Linked DNA regions of Drosophila melanogaster. The protein of the gene in region 1 interacts with the protein of each later gene in a pairwise test. Each region holds a gene or a part of one and is shown on either strand. Other genes may lie near its edges.

Region 1 (3,757 bases):
TGAAATATGTCTGTGCCATATTTCCGATGTCAGAGTCGCTTGGGGCATACGAAATGTCGCATGTTTCTCTGACAGGTCGTTAATTAATTATTCCTCGGCCCCGTGCGATTGCAGATCGGTCGGTAATCGCAGATGACAGGAAGAAGGTGGGTAGGGATCGACGATGTACATTTGCATCGGACTCGAATGGAAAACGCAAGGAACTTCTTAAACGAGGAGTCAGTCGATCCGATCGAAGGAGCAGAACAGAAATAGTTGAAATATATATTTGGAGTTTTCCATGACTACTGTTTTTGGTGTGAGTAACTCATATATGTTATAATTTACATATTTTTTGAGCAACAGTTTTCCCACAGTGTACTTAAGCAGCTTAGAGTCCCCCCAGTTGGATGACTCATTTCTGCTCCCCCATCCGCAACTTGGTCGTTCCATGTGCACCGAACAATGGACCACGGACCGGGTGAATTATTTTACTCTCCGCCTGCCATTTTCCTTTTCATGCCGCCGCAGATCTGCGCAAATTGCGTGGTCTCCGCCCTCCGGTCTCCCATCTCCCATCTCCGATCTCCGGCCGTACAGTTCGCCCGAGTAGACCGTGTCCGTATTGCTGGACCGGGGAAGAGTTCAAAGTCCTGTTAATGTACACAGAGGCCAAGAGAATGGCGATGGCCAACAGAGGTGGCTTCGGTGGCCTTAACATGCGTCTTCCCCTCGCTGCCAGGCGTCTATAAATACCTGATGCCTGATCCCAAGCGGCAGGGGCAGGGGGAAGGGGCAGTGATCCCAGCATAGTTTACATTTTAGTTCAGGCTAAATACGAGTGCACAATAAACAAAAATCCAGAGCGCCAGCCTCAACCTCTGGCTGCTTCCCAGTCCAGAGTCAATGCCATGCACCATGGATAGACAGCGTGTATGCCATACAGTAGGCACACCACCCCCACCCACTGCGCCTCAGTGGATATGTCGGATTTGGGCATCAGTTTTTGTTTACCCCAGATCGCAGGCCCTCATCAATCGTTGCCTCAACTGCAGTTCCCGTTGCCGGCGGTTTGTTTACGGACCCGCGGCATAAACATTTGGACGGGAAAGGACACAAAGGAGCGGGCTTCACCTGTAAATCACGGCGGTTAATTATCCCCGAACCGCCGCATTAATCAGGTTCATATGTATGCACTGTATGATCTGTTGTTTATCCGCTTTATGCGCCCAAATTGGACGGAGGATCTACGCATCTACCACCGCGAGACAATGGCCATACCCATACCAATGCATATAGTCATGCGGAAAGATACCAACTATACTATACTCGTACGTCCCGGTCACTATTTCCCGTTCGCAGAAGCTCATTGCCAATGCAAACATTGCTCACGTAAATGTCAAAATATCAAAAGAAATAATAATATTAATTTAACAAGTGCGGCCCGTTCTGTCCGTTGGTTGGGTGGAGTGAAGGGGGGGGTTTTGGGGGGTGTGCAATGGGGATCGGAAAACGCCGCTCATTTGCAGTCACGCGAATCTGTTGGCCCAATTTGCCAAGCAGATTTTCGATCTTGTTTCGGTTCCTGGGCAGATAGTTATGCACGAGCGAGGTGTGTGTTCTATTGTGTAATCGAAAGGCGGTAAAGGTGCAAATTTGAAGAGCGAAGTTCACTTTCCACCACCTTCCGTTCACATTTCGCCAACTCACCCCACGCAGTTCGAATAGTTGACGGAAAACAATCCACTGCCGTCGTCGCTCCGCCTCGAATATAGACGGATGATTCAGTTGCCGATGGGAAGTCAATGCTTTATCACACACGGAGCGCAAATTCCACGAATCTCATCACCCGCCAAGAGTCCGCGATGGCAACGGGTGATGGGTGATGGGTGATTGGTGATGCTGATTTTGGGGATCGCACTGAATCTCGATAAGTGTCAAACGGATTTATTAGTCGCACGGACGGATTGCGCATCCGTGAAGGCGAGCGAACGCAGCGAGATCCCAGGAAGAACTGAGCGTTCTTCGCCAGACCACTTACAGTTTTTACATCTTGCGACCGCTGCCGCCGCGGCGATTCTTCTGCCTCCGGCGGCGTCCACCTCGCGGTCTCGGTCTCCCATCCTCTCCTACATTTTCGTACACTGAGAAAAATAGCCTTACACTTCTGTATTATGCACCCCAACTGTATTAGTATTGCAGTTTCTGTTATTTCCATTTAGCTATTTCCATTCGGATTTATTTCTGGCATGGGACCCCCCGTTTCGCTCCGTGTACATCCGCATCCACGTCGAGGAGGTGACGAAGCTGACGCAGAGCCAGCAGCTGTTGGTCGCTCTTGCCGAGGATCGGAACGGTACGGATCGACATCGGCATCGGCATCGGATCGAACATGACTTCGAGAACGAACCACGACGCAACAGCGACGGAACAAGTGTGCGCGGTTTAAAAATAACAATAATGTTTTCATTGCGCTACCCTTTCTCTGCGCAGCCCTCTCTGCCATGGCTTTCCATTGCATTTTCCGAAAGGGAAAACTGTGCCCGAGGTGACGAGGCGCTCCTGCTGGCAGGACCACTGCGCAGAATTCTTCTAACGATCCGCAGTCAGTGTCAAAAACCTTACACACTCGCTGAAGAACAGACAGGGTTGTTGTAATAGGTCTTTTTTTTTTGTATTTGTGGTATTTGTTGTAAACTGATGAAATTAATTACTTGAGCTATATAAGGATGTAGTCTCACATGTTAAGATAAATGTTTTATATATTAGTTGCCTACTTCCCCTTGTAGAATCAATATATAGTCTGTTTTAATTTTGTATGTCGAGAAGATTATCAATTCGATAGACTGATAGCTGTACCTCTAGTCTAGCTAGTGATATTTCGGTGACCTCGACTGTGGGAATTTGCCCCATGTGTCAGTGTGTTTTCGCCTGCCCCATGCTGATTTGCCTAGAAAGAGAGAGGCACTACTCTCGCTTCGTGGTTGGGCAGTTTCTTCGGTAGCCGAGCCGGCTACCCGTCTTCTCCCACTCTTCTTGCTGCTCGGATTCTTCTCCTGCTGTTGGCTGATGGGGATGGGAATGGGTGCTCTTCGCGAAGAGTGACGCAGTCGTATGCAATTTGGCATTTTCCTCGCCTGCGTACTTGTTGCGGGCATCCAAAATAGACTCGCTCACCTGAACCTCTCCACCCCATTCCATTCCGCCCCCAAAAGTGTGCACTCTGCAGATTCCCCACCTCCGTTGGCCTTAGAAATCCAACGGATTTCTCGCAGGTGTTGCCGTTTTCTCTCGTTTCCTCCACTTTTCATTTTCGACTTTTCAGGCGTAATGAACTTAATGTCGCCCCTTTGGGTGTTTTTTTTTTCGGTTGGGGTCTTCAGATGTATTGGGTGCTAACGTATTTTCTATATATTCGATATGATTTATGCCGAGCGGCGGTTTCTGTGTCTGTTTCTGTTTATGGTTCTGGTTTGAATTGGATTTTGATGTTTCACAAAAGATCTTTACAGTTGGGCGGGGATTGTAATGGGTTTATTTATAAGGCCACCCCTTGTGGCCAACAAATGTGTTTAGTGGCTCCCTGTCCGCGACTTTATTTCCCGATCGCACTTTTCGCACTTCTTGTGGCATTTTCACACTCTACAACTTGCTGCCCACGCGACGAAGACAAAGGAAATCGCTTGGTGGCGAATGGAAAAGCTAAGAGGAAGGGAAGGAAGGGGAAGAAGGGGTGGGCTTTGTCTGGCGCCAACATGGAAATGCAATTTGAGTGGTA
Region 2 (3,757 bases), on another chromosome or scaffold:
GTTTTGTAGGTAGTTAGGAGGGGCGTAAACAAAATGTTTTTGGTACAAAGAATCTATAAAAATTGGCAATTGACATTTCTATTACAATGTCTCTAGAATCTGTATGCTTAGTCTCCTGATCTCGACGTTTATAACGACGGGCATATGTATATGGCCAGATCGACTGGGCTATCAATGAATGATACATATGTACATATATTGATACATATGTATCAATGAATTAAACCTGATATAATAGCAAATACAGCTCCTATAGATAACACATAATGAAAATGAGCTACTACATAAGTATCATCTATAATAATATCTACTTATGAATATGTACATATATTCTTTCAACGAATCTAGTATACCATTTTACTATAAGGGCAGAAAACTGAAAACATTTTGTAAAAGTGTGGGAGTAAATTTTTTGGCGGTTTTGTGGACGTTGACGTGGGCTCGGCAACATTCTGCAAAAACCTTGATAGCTAAAAATTTCGGCTTTTTTAGTTTCCGAAGTCTCGACCATCAAACGGACCAACTCTTCTCTCTATGTCCTTTTTAAACAACAAGTAATAGGTGTAGAAAAAAACAAGTTTTCCGTGTAATTGTTTATTTAATAATATATTATCCTAGGGAGATGCAATCCTAGTAACATTTTTTGAATAGCAAAGAATAATATTTTAAATCATGTACATGTACGTTAAATGTTTGAAAAAACTTAACAAAAGTGAATTTTTTCGTTACTATGTATTCGTCGACGCATTGTTGGTTTACCTTTATTTTTTATTTCATTTTATTTTCTTCCGATTTAATTTGTAAAATGATTAATTTTTTCAGAAATGGCGACAAATGGAATTAAATTTGTTTCTCCCATAAAATTCGAAGTAACTCATCCATCTTTCGAAATCACTCAAACATGCGAGAGCGAAACAGAAACCGGTCGCGCTCTTGTGCTCACGAGACAATAACTGTTCTTGCTCTTTCGCTTGTCGAATTTTCGAAAACAGTCTGTGGACAGAGGCGTTCGGATGAGGGTCTCGAACTAGGAAATTGTTACAAAATATATGGTAACATTTCGCTAATAATAAACAACGAAATATTTATTTATTAGTTCTTAAACGTACTCACAAAACATAGGTACCATATCAACCACTAATAGATTCTTTCAAGTTGTTAGCTTACACGAAAATGTTTTAACCCCCTCTTGAGATGTACGCCACTGACCCTACAAACCGCAAAACAGCTGATTTTTGTCGGTATGCAAGCAAACCTTTAATTAATGACAATTTAATGGCCAAAAGCAACCAAAATGTATTTACCAAACAATAATTCCATAGTATTTACCTTAGTTCAAGTCGAAACATAAATATGTTCATTTTATTTTATAATTTTGGGGTATACATATGTATATTACGAACCTGTGGATCGGAGTGCAAGTAGCAAGGTTGGATTAGAGGAAATAGTTTTTTCTCATCAAAGCAGAGCTTAAACACTGTTGCTGATGCGTATTTTCATTTAAATTCGATAGAACAAACTGTAAAACACAGATAATAAAACATAATTCACAGCGCACTTTTCACCAGCAAGCGTACGACGCACGCGACGAGTTGCTTCTCCCACAAGAAGTTCGAAATTCGAAATCGTTTGTGCAACTGAGAGAGAGAAGTTCGAATATTTGAGTGGTTTTTAAGTTCGAAAAACACCAGAGATTTCTGATTAGGGGGTAATTTACTTACAATTTTTTTTGATTGGACTTCGTGATCTTTTTCATATATACATTTATCGAGCTATAATTCCTAACGGTTAAGGTCTATTGGGGTCTCGAGGTTAATACGAACGGATAGATTGAGATGGCTATTGATCTTAATAAAGAATATTTGGATCGGTTCTGTCTAGTTTTTTTACTCAACTCTTTTTTACTTCTTATTTAAATATTTTAAGGTGTAGAATATGTTTCGCAGTTGTGTCTCATCGTTTGTGTCCCAGATATGTATGTATTTACAGCTGTGTTCAATAAAATAGCAGTGCGAGGGAAACTAAGAAATACAAAGGTATTTTCCCTTTTTGGAATCGACTTTTTATTTCACTTATTTTTGTAAAATGGAATGTGTATATAGGAATAAAAAGAAAATCCCAATAGTTTTTCATGTTATCCTTTTCTGCTTAAATTCTTGAGCAAATTCACAACTTTTATGCTGTTCATAAGAATAGCAGTGTCTGGTTTTGTCCAACGTAAAGTCCCGAAAATATCAATATTTTCTAACGTGTGTTTGGTTCGTATATTTAAAAGAGCAATAATTAAAAAAAAAATAAATAAAAAATATTGTATATTATAGTAGATAGAGAAAGAAAAGAATGTTAATTCACCAATCAAAGAAAACATTTCACACATATTCTGCCTTCAGTTGTGTCCATAGAAATCGGGGACACAAGGCAAATCCATTTATATTGCGAAATCAAAACCATTTTTCCATGTCATTGGAATCCTCCACTAGAGGTGAACTAATTGCGTGTTCAGCGCAAAATCTTTTCGATTTATCGCCTCAGGTTGATTTTATGCTTCACATAGACACCACACAGCCGCTGCACATCCACATATTGATGCAGCATCCAAAGGACCGAAATGAGAGGTGGGCTCCAGAGGGCAACGGAGCGAATACCCGCTGATTTATACGCTTCAATCCCACATTTTTGTTTCTTCGGCTGCCATTTAGCTAAAATATTTCATATCCGAATTGCATCGCCGTCTCGAGCCTTCGCTCCTTCGTCTTCGTTTGGCTGCCAGGCAGAAGACTAGAGCGGGACGCACTGATGGCAGAGAGTGGGAGCGAGAGGGTACGCAATGGACAGCCGCTTCCCCGTAATTATGCGATTTGTTATTCGAGATTTGAGGCGATTGTGACTGGGCACCATGTAGGCGAGGAGGCGCTGAAGAAGCAGCAGTTCCACCGAGAAATGATTTAAACTGCGATTTCAATTCTGGCATTTCTGATTCGCCCAGTGTCTGTGTTGCAACTTGAGGCCCTCCCATACCATCTCCACAATCCGCCGCGCGGACCCCGGACACCGCAAGCTGAATTCGACACGCCAAGATCTGAGTATCCCAAATGATAATGCTGCGGCCATTGCATGTGCGATGGGCAGTCAGAGTCGGACGGGCGGACTGACTCCGGACCAACGGACAACATCCATTCGCTGACTGACTGACGTACTTGGGGGCTGACTGATATGGGTGGAACCAAAAGGCTCACAGAGCGGCGAAGTCTTCTTGCTGGACGCCCTGCAGCAGACATTATAGCCAACGAAAAATATTGGTTATATATTACAGTTTCTCAATATTTTAGTCAGATTCCGAAACCAAGCGAGAAAAACGAGTCATCGCTACCCTACATCAGGACAGTAAATATATGTAAGTATACTAGATTGTAAGTGTACTAGATAAGAATGTAGAATCAGTTTTAATCAAATGAAGTATATCTTGTGCCCTTCGTACACCCCGTGGAGCACGACTACAGCGTTCGCTCTTGTACAGTAAAAGGGTATACTACAAAAGATTCGTTGGATGAAGAAAGCATTTTCGACTATATAAAGTATATAAATTATTGATCAGGATCAATAGCCGAGTCGATATAGTTATGTCCGTCTATCCGTATGAACGTCGAGATCTCAGGAACTATAAAAGAGAGAGCATACAGATTCTAGACCCAAAGCCGCAGCGCAAGTTTGTTGACCCATGTTAGTGGCTTACGCCCACAAGCCGCACAAAACGAAA
Region 3 (3,757 bases), on another chromosome or scaffold:
TCCGCCTGGTGAGCCTGGTGTCTGGCCACTGGAGCTGCCCAGCTGCAGGTGCGAGGACGTCGACGTTGGACTGCTGCTGCTAACCACACGCGGACTCATGGCCACCGCTGTGGTGGTGCTGACCGCGCTGGGCGCACTGCCCGCCTCCTCCTGTGCCGAGCTGGCCGTTGGAATGCCTCCCAGTCCGGAGGTTGGCGTCTGCAGGTAGGGATGATAGCGAACACCGGCGCTCTTGCCATAGTCAACGCCCACGGTGCCAAAGGCGTAATCAGTGCCCTGCTGCTGCTGCTGTTGCTGCTGGTAGAACTGCTCGTAGCTGTTGATGTAGCTGCTGGCGTAACCCTGCTGCTGCTGCATGTCCCCGCCGTAGAGTCCGCCGTAGATCTGCTGCTGTTGTTGCTGCTGTCCGCCAGATGCGGAGTACATGTGGTGGGTGGCGTACGGCTGGTGGGTGATACCCGTTACCTGCTGCTGCTGTTGCTGCTGCTGGGGATCTCCTCCACCCATGGCCTGCTGCTGCTGCTGTTGCGATTGTGGCTGCTGCAACTGTTGCTGCGTCGATTGCTGCTGTTGCGTGGGCTGCGGCGTGCCGGGTTGATTATCACTGGAGTCGGCGGCGGCGCTAATTGTGGCATTGGGTGTGGCGGGCGCACTGCCTACGCCTCCCGTTCCTCCCGCTCCTGGTCCGCCCGATCCTCCTCCACCTCCTCCTCCTCCTCCTCCTGCTCCTCCCCCACCACTGTCTGTAGCACTGCTGGAGGCGAGCGCCTCTGCCGCGTGCAGGGGCGGCATCTCGGTCTTAATGCTCGTCATGGACCGCTACATAAGTCGATGCTTGGTGGCTGCTCGGTGTTTCGCTTCTCATGTCTCGAGCTCTCCGGGATCAGTGGTGCATCCTCTGCTCCTGCTGCTACGCTGCTTGCTTTTCGTTGGCTCTGCTGAGCCGATCGTTTTTGTTTTGGGTTTTTATGTTATATGCTCTCGTTTCGTTTTATTTTTTTGTGATTTTTTGTTTTTTTGTGCTTTGTATTTGTACTGAAAATAAGCCAATTATTGTTTAAGCCATTATTAGTTTGAAGTTACTTGAGTTGCAAACGGAAAAAAAACAAACACATGCACACTGTGTTTTCAAAGCTTTTGGTGTCTAACGGTTCTTGGTGTCCATTTCACTTCGATGCGAAATTGCAGGCACTTTTGTAATTTGATTTGTATGGTGGAAATACAATAGCTTTTACTTGCGAACGTAATGTCAACTGCAATTGTTTGTGGAGAGCACACATGGACGCTCACGACGCACACTAACACACACACTCGAAAAAAATATATACATGAAGGATCCTCGATGAAGATCCCTTTTCCGTTCTCTTTTGCTTTTCTTACTTATCTGCGCCTCGCTTTGGGCACTTCTTCGTTGGACTTGGACTTCTGCTTCGCTCCTTCTTCTTCTGCTCCGCTCCTCCTCCTTCTTCTCTTTCACCGCTCCTCTTCGGCGAAACGAAAGACACACAACAGCAGACTCGATAAATAATACGAAACTGAACTGAACTGAACTGAAGAAACCAATATCGGAACCGCAACGAATGCTGGTCAATTTTGAATTTCGAATTTTGTTTTTGCGAATTGCGAGGGAAGCGAGAATGGCGATGCGATGTGATCACACTCTCCCTATCTCTCTCTCTCTCTCTTTCTTGCTCTCTCTCGCCACTTTTTTTTTTACCGGTGATTTAGAGTTTTTCGGTTTGGGTTCGCTTTTCGCTTCGCCCTTTTCCAAAAGATCACTGGAATTCGCGTTTATCGTTTATCGGGGATCGGATCGAACAGAAAAAAATTGTTTACGAACACAAGTATTGCATCGGAATTAAATTTGTTGTTGATTCCCGAGCCGCGATTAGTTCGTTTAGTTTGTTTTTCAATTGGTTTGCCGAAAAGTTGTTGCCAAAAATGTTGCGTTTTGTGAGTGGGGAAAATGAAACAAAAAAGGGCGCTAAAAGTAGCCGCTCCACTCCGTTCGCACGCTTCGTCGCTTTTTCACCCGTGTCCTTCTGTCTGCTACGGCGTTCCAAATACAAATGACCGACAAATACACCGCCGTGCATGCGGCACATTCGTTCTACCCGTTCTGCCGGCAGCGACGCCGGCTGCGACTGTGGCTGCGGCGTCGCAGTCGACGCACATGCGTGGCTGTGTGTGTGTGTGCGCTATATACACTGCGCGGCGGCGTTTCGGTTATGTGCGTGCTGTCTCTGTCGCGCACGGCTGCCGTCAACGCCGCTGCATTTGATTTTGCTTTGCTTTTGGTTTTGCCTTTGCTTTGCGCTGCCTTTACTTTGCAATACCCTTTGCATTGAGAGTACCACAAGTTAGCTCGGAATCAAGATAAAGTATCCCATGCATAATTAGCATTAGTTGAGACCTAAGTTTTGCAATCTGTTTAGATCGAACTAATAAATCCTCTCGAAGACATGTACATAAACGATTAGTCGCAATTTGAATGCTTATATTTTTATGCCTTGAATGGCATTATTAGTGAAAACTGATGTTTAATATACATATATACATATGTTTTATAATGCACACATATATACATACGTTTTATAATGCACACAAATTTGAATCCTTTTTTGCAAGCCATCACAATTTTCCACAGAAAATTGCTGAACGGTTATAAAAAAGTAATTTAAGTAAGGTCATTGATAACCGGTTTTGCACTTAACAATCCGTAGAATTTGGATGGATCGCAATTGTAAAGTGTATTTGTAATAATACACAACTTCTGCATTGCCTTTCTAGCAGCAAATCAATAGCTTTGATCGTGTTAAAATGATTTTCCACTGTTTATTTATGAAATTATTTCGCTGTATTTGCGTTTCTGGATATATACAGCGAACTGCATATATTTAAGCCGCCCTAGGCACTAAAAATTTTATATGAAATTGTTTTCTTTAGGATGGTTGGATTTCGAAATGTTTATTCCGATCTCTAGCTTAAAACTCTGGCAGTTCGTAGAAGTCATCTACGCTATGAAGAACTTACCATATAAATAAATGTTTATGTACTCTATTGTAATAGCAAAATTTAGCTTAAGTGGCGATAATGTGGATTTTTCAAGAACACAGCGAAGATTGGTTGGCCCTTTTGTGTGATCCACCGATTACCATATCGCAACTCGCCTAATTTAAAGCTGTGTTGCAGTTCTAGGCTTGGTTGCTCAGTTGTGCCCGTTTTTTTTTTTTTAGCCTTGGTACGAACGGCGGCTTATTAATAGACTCCTCGAAGCGTCTTAGTCAGATGTTGACTCACTGGACCGGGCCAAAACCAATTCGCACTACTAGCCTAGTTTCTGAGCGACCGGCAACCGACGATTATCGACGTCACGGGCCTCGTAAAAGTTGAGAACGTTCAAAAAATTAATAAACCAAACTTTTATTGCGTTGGGCATACGGGAGTGCAGAGCTGAGAGACAACGAAAGCTAATCTACATTTAAAAAGAAAGGAAAAAATCGTAAGCTAGGACTAACGGATACCCTGTTATCAGATTCTGTCATAAGATCATAAGCTCACTAGAGAAACTTTTTTAAATAGAAGACTAGAAGAAGACTAAGCATGTAAGTAAGTATGCATAAGTATGTATGTACATATATATTCCAAAGATGCAGGCGATCTTTCGTCTTTCGAATGGGTATGCTTTTTCCAATCTACGATTAAGGGGTATAAATAGCGACAGAAAGGGTTTGAATCTGTTGGTAACTATGGGGTT

Evidence for each region.
Region 2: the proteins of Kah (region 1) and CG31612 interact in a two-hybrid assay, tested with the Drosophila melanogaster proteins (one large-scale study listed by BioGRID).
Region 3: the proteins of Kah (region 1) and zld interact in a two-hybrid assay, tested with the Drosophila melanogaster proteins (one large-scale study listed by BioGRID).

What each region holds. Positions count from the first base shown.
Region 1 is NT_037436.4:587,274-591,030, forward strand, and holds the start of Kah (kahuli), read right to left. Parts: upstream 2,002-3,757; 5' UTR 1,690-2,001; intron 1-1,689.
Region 2 is NT_033779.5:21,793,843-21,797,599, forward strand, and holds the start of CG31612 (uncharacterized protein), read right to left. Parts: upstream 1,606-3,757; 5' UTR 1,552-1,605; exon of another isoform or gene 1,404-1,551; intron 1-1,403.
Region 3 is NC_004354.4:19,781,474-19,785,230, forward strand, and holds the start of zld (zelda), read right to left. Parts: upstream 2,076-3,757; 5' UTR 1,381-2,075; exon of another isoform or gene 1,036-1,380; 5' UTR 814-1,035; coding exon 1-813. UniProt on the Drosophila melanogaster protein: Transcription factor required for zygotic genome activation (ZGA), a critical event in early embryonic development during which the developmental control passes from maternally provided mRNAs to the expression of the zygotic genome after fertilization.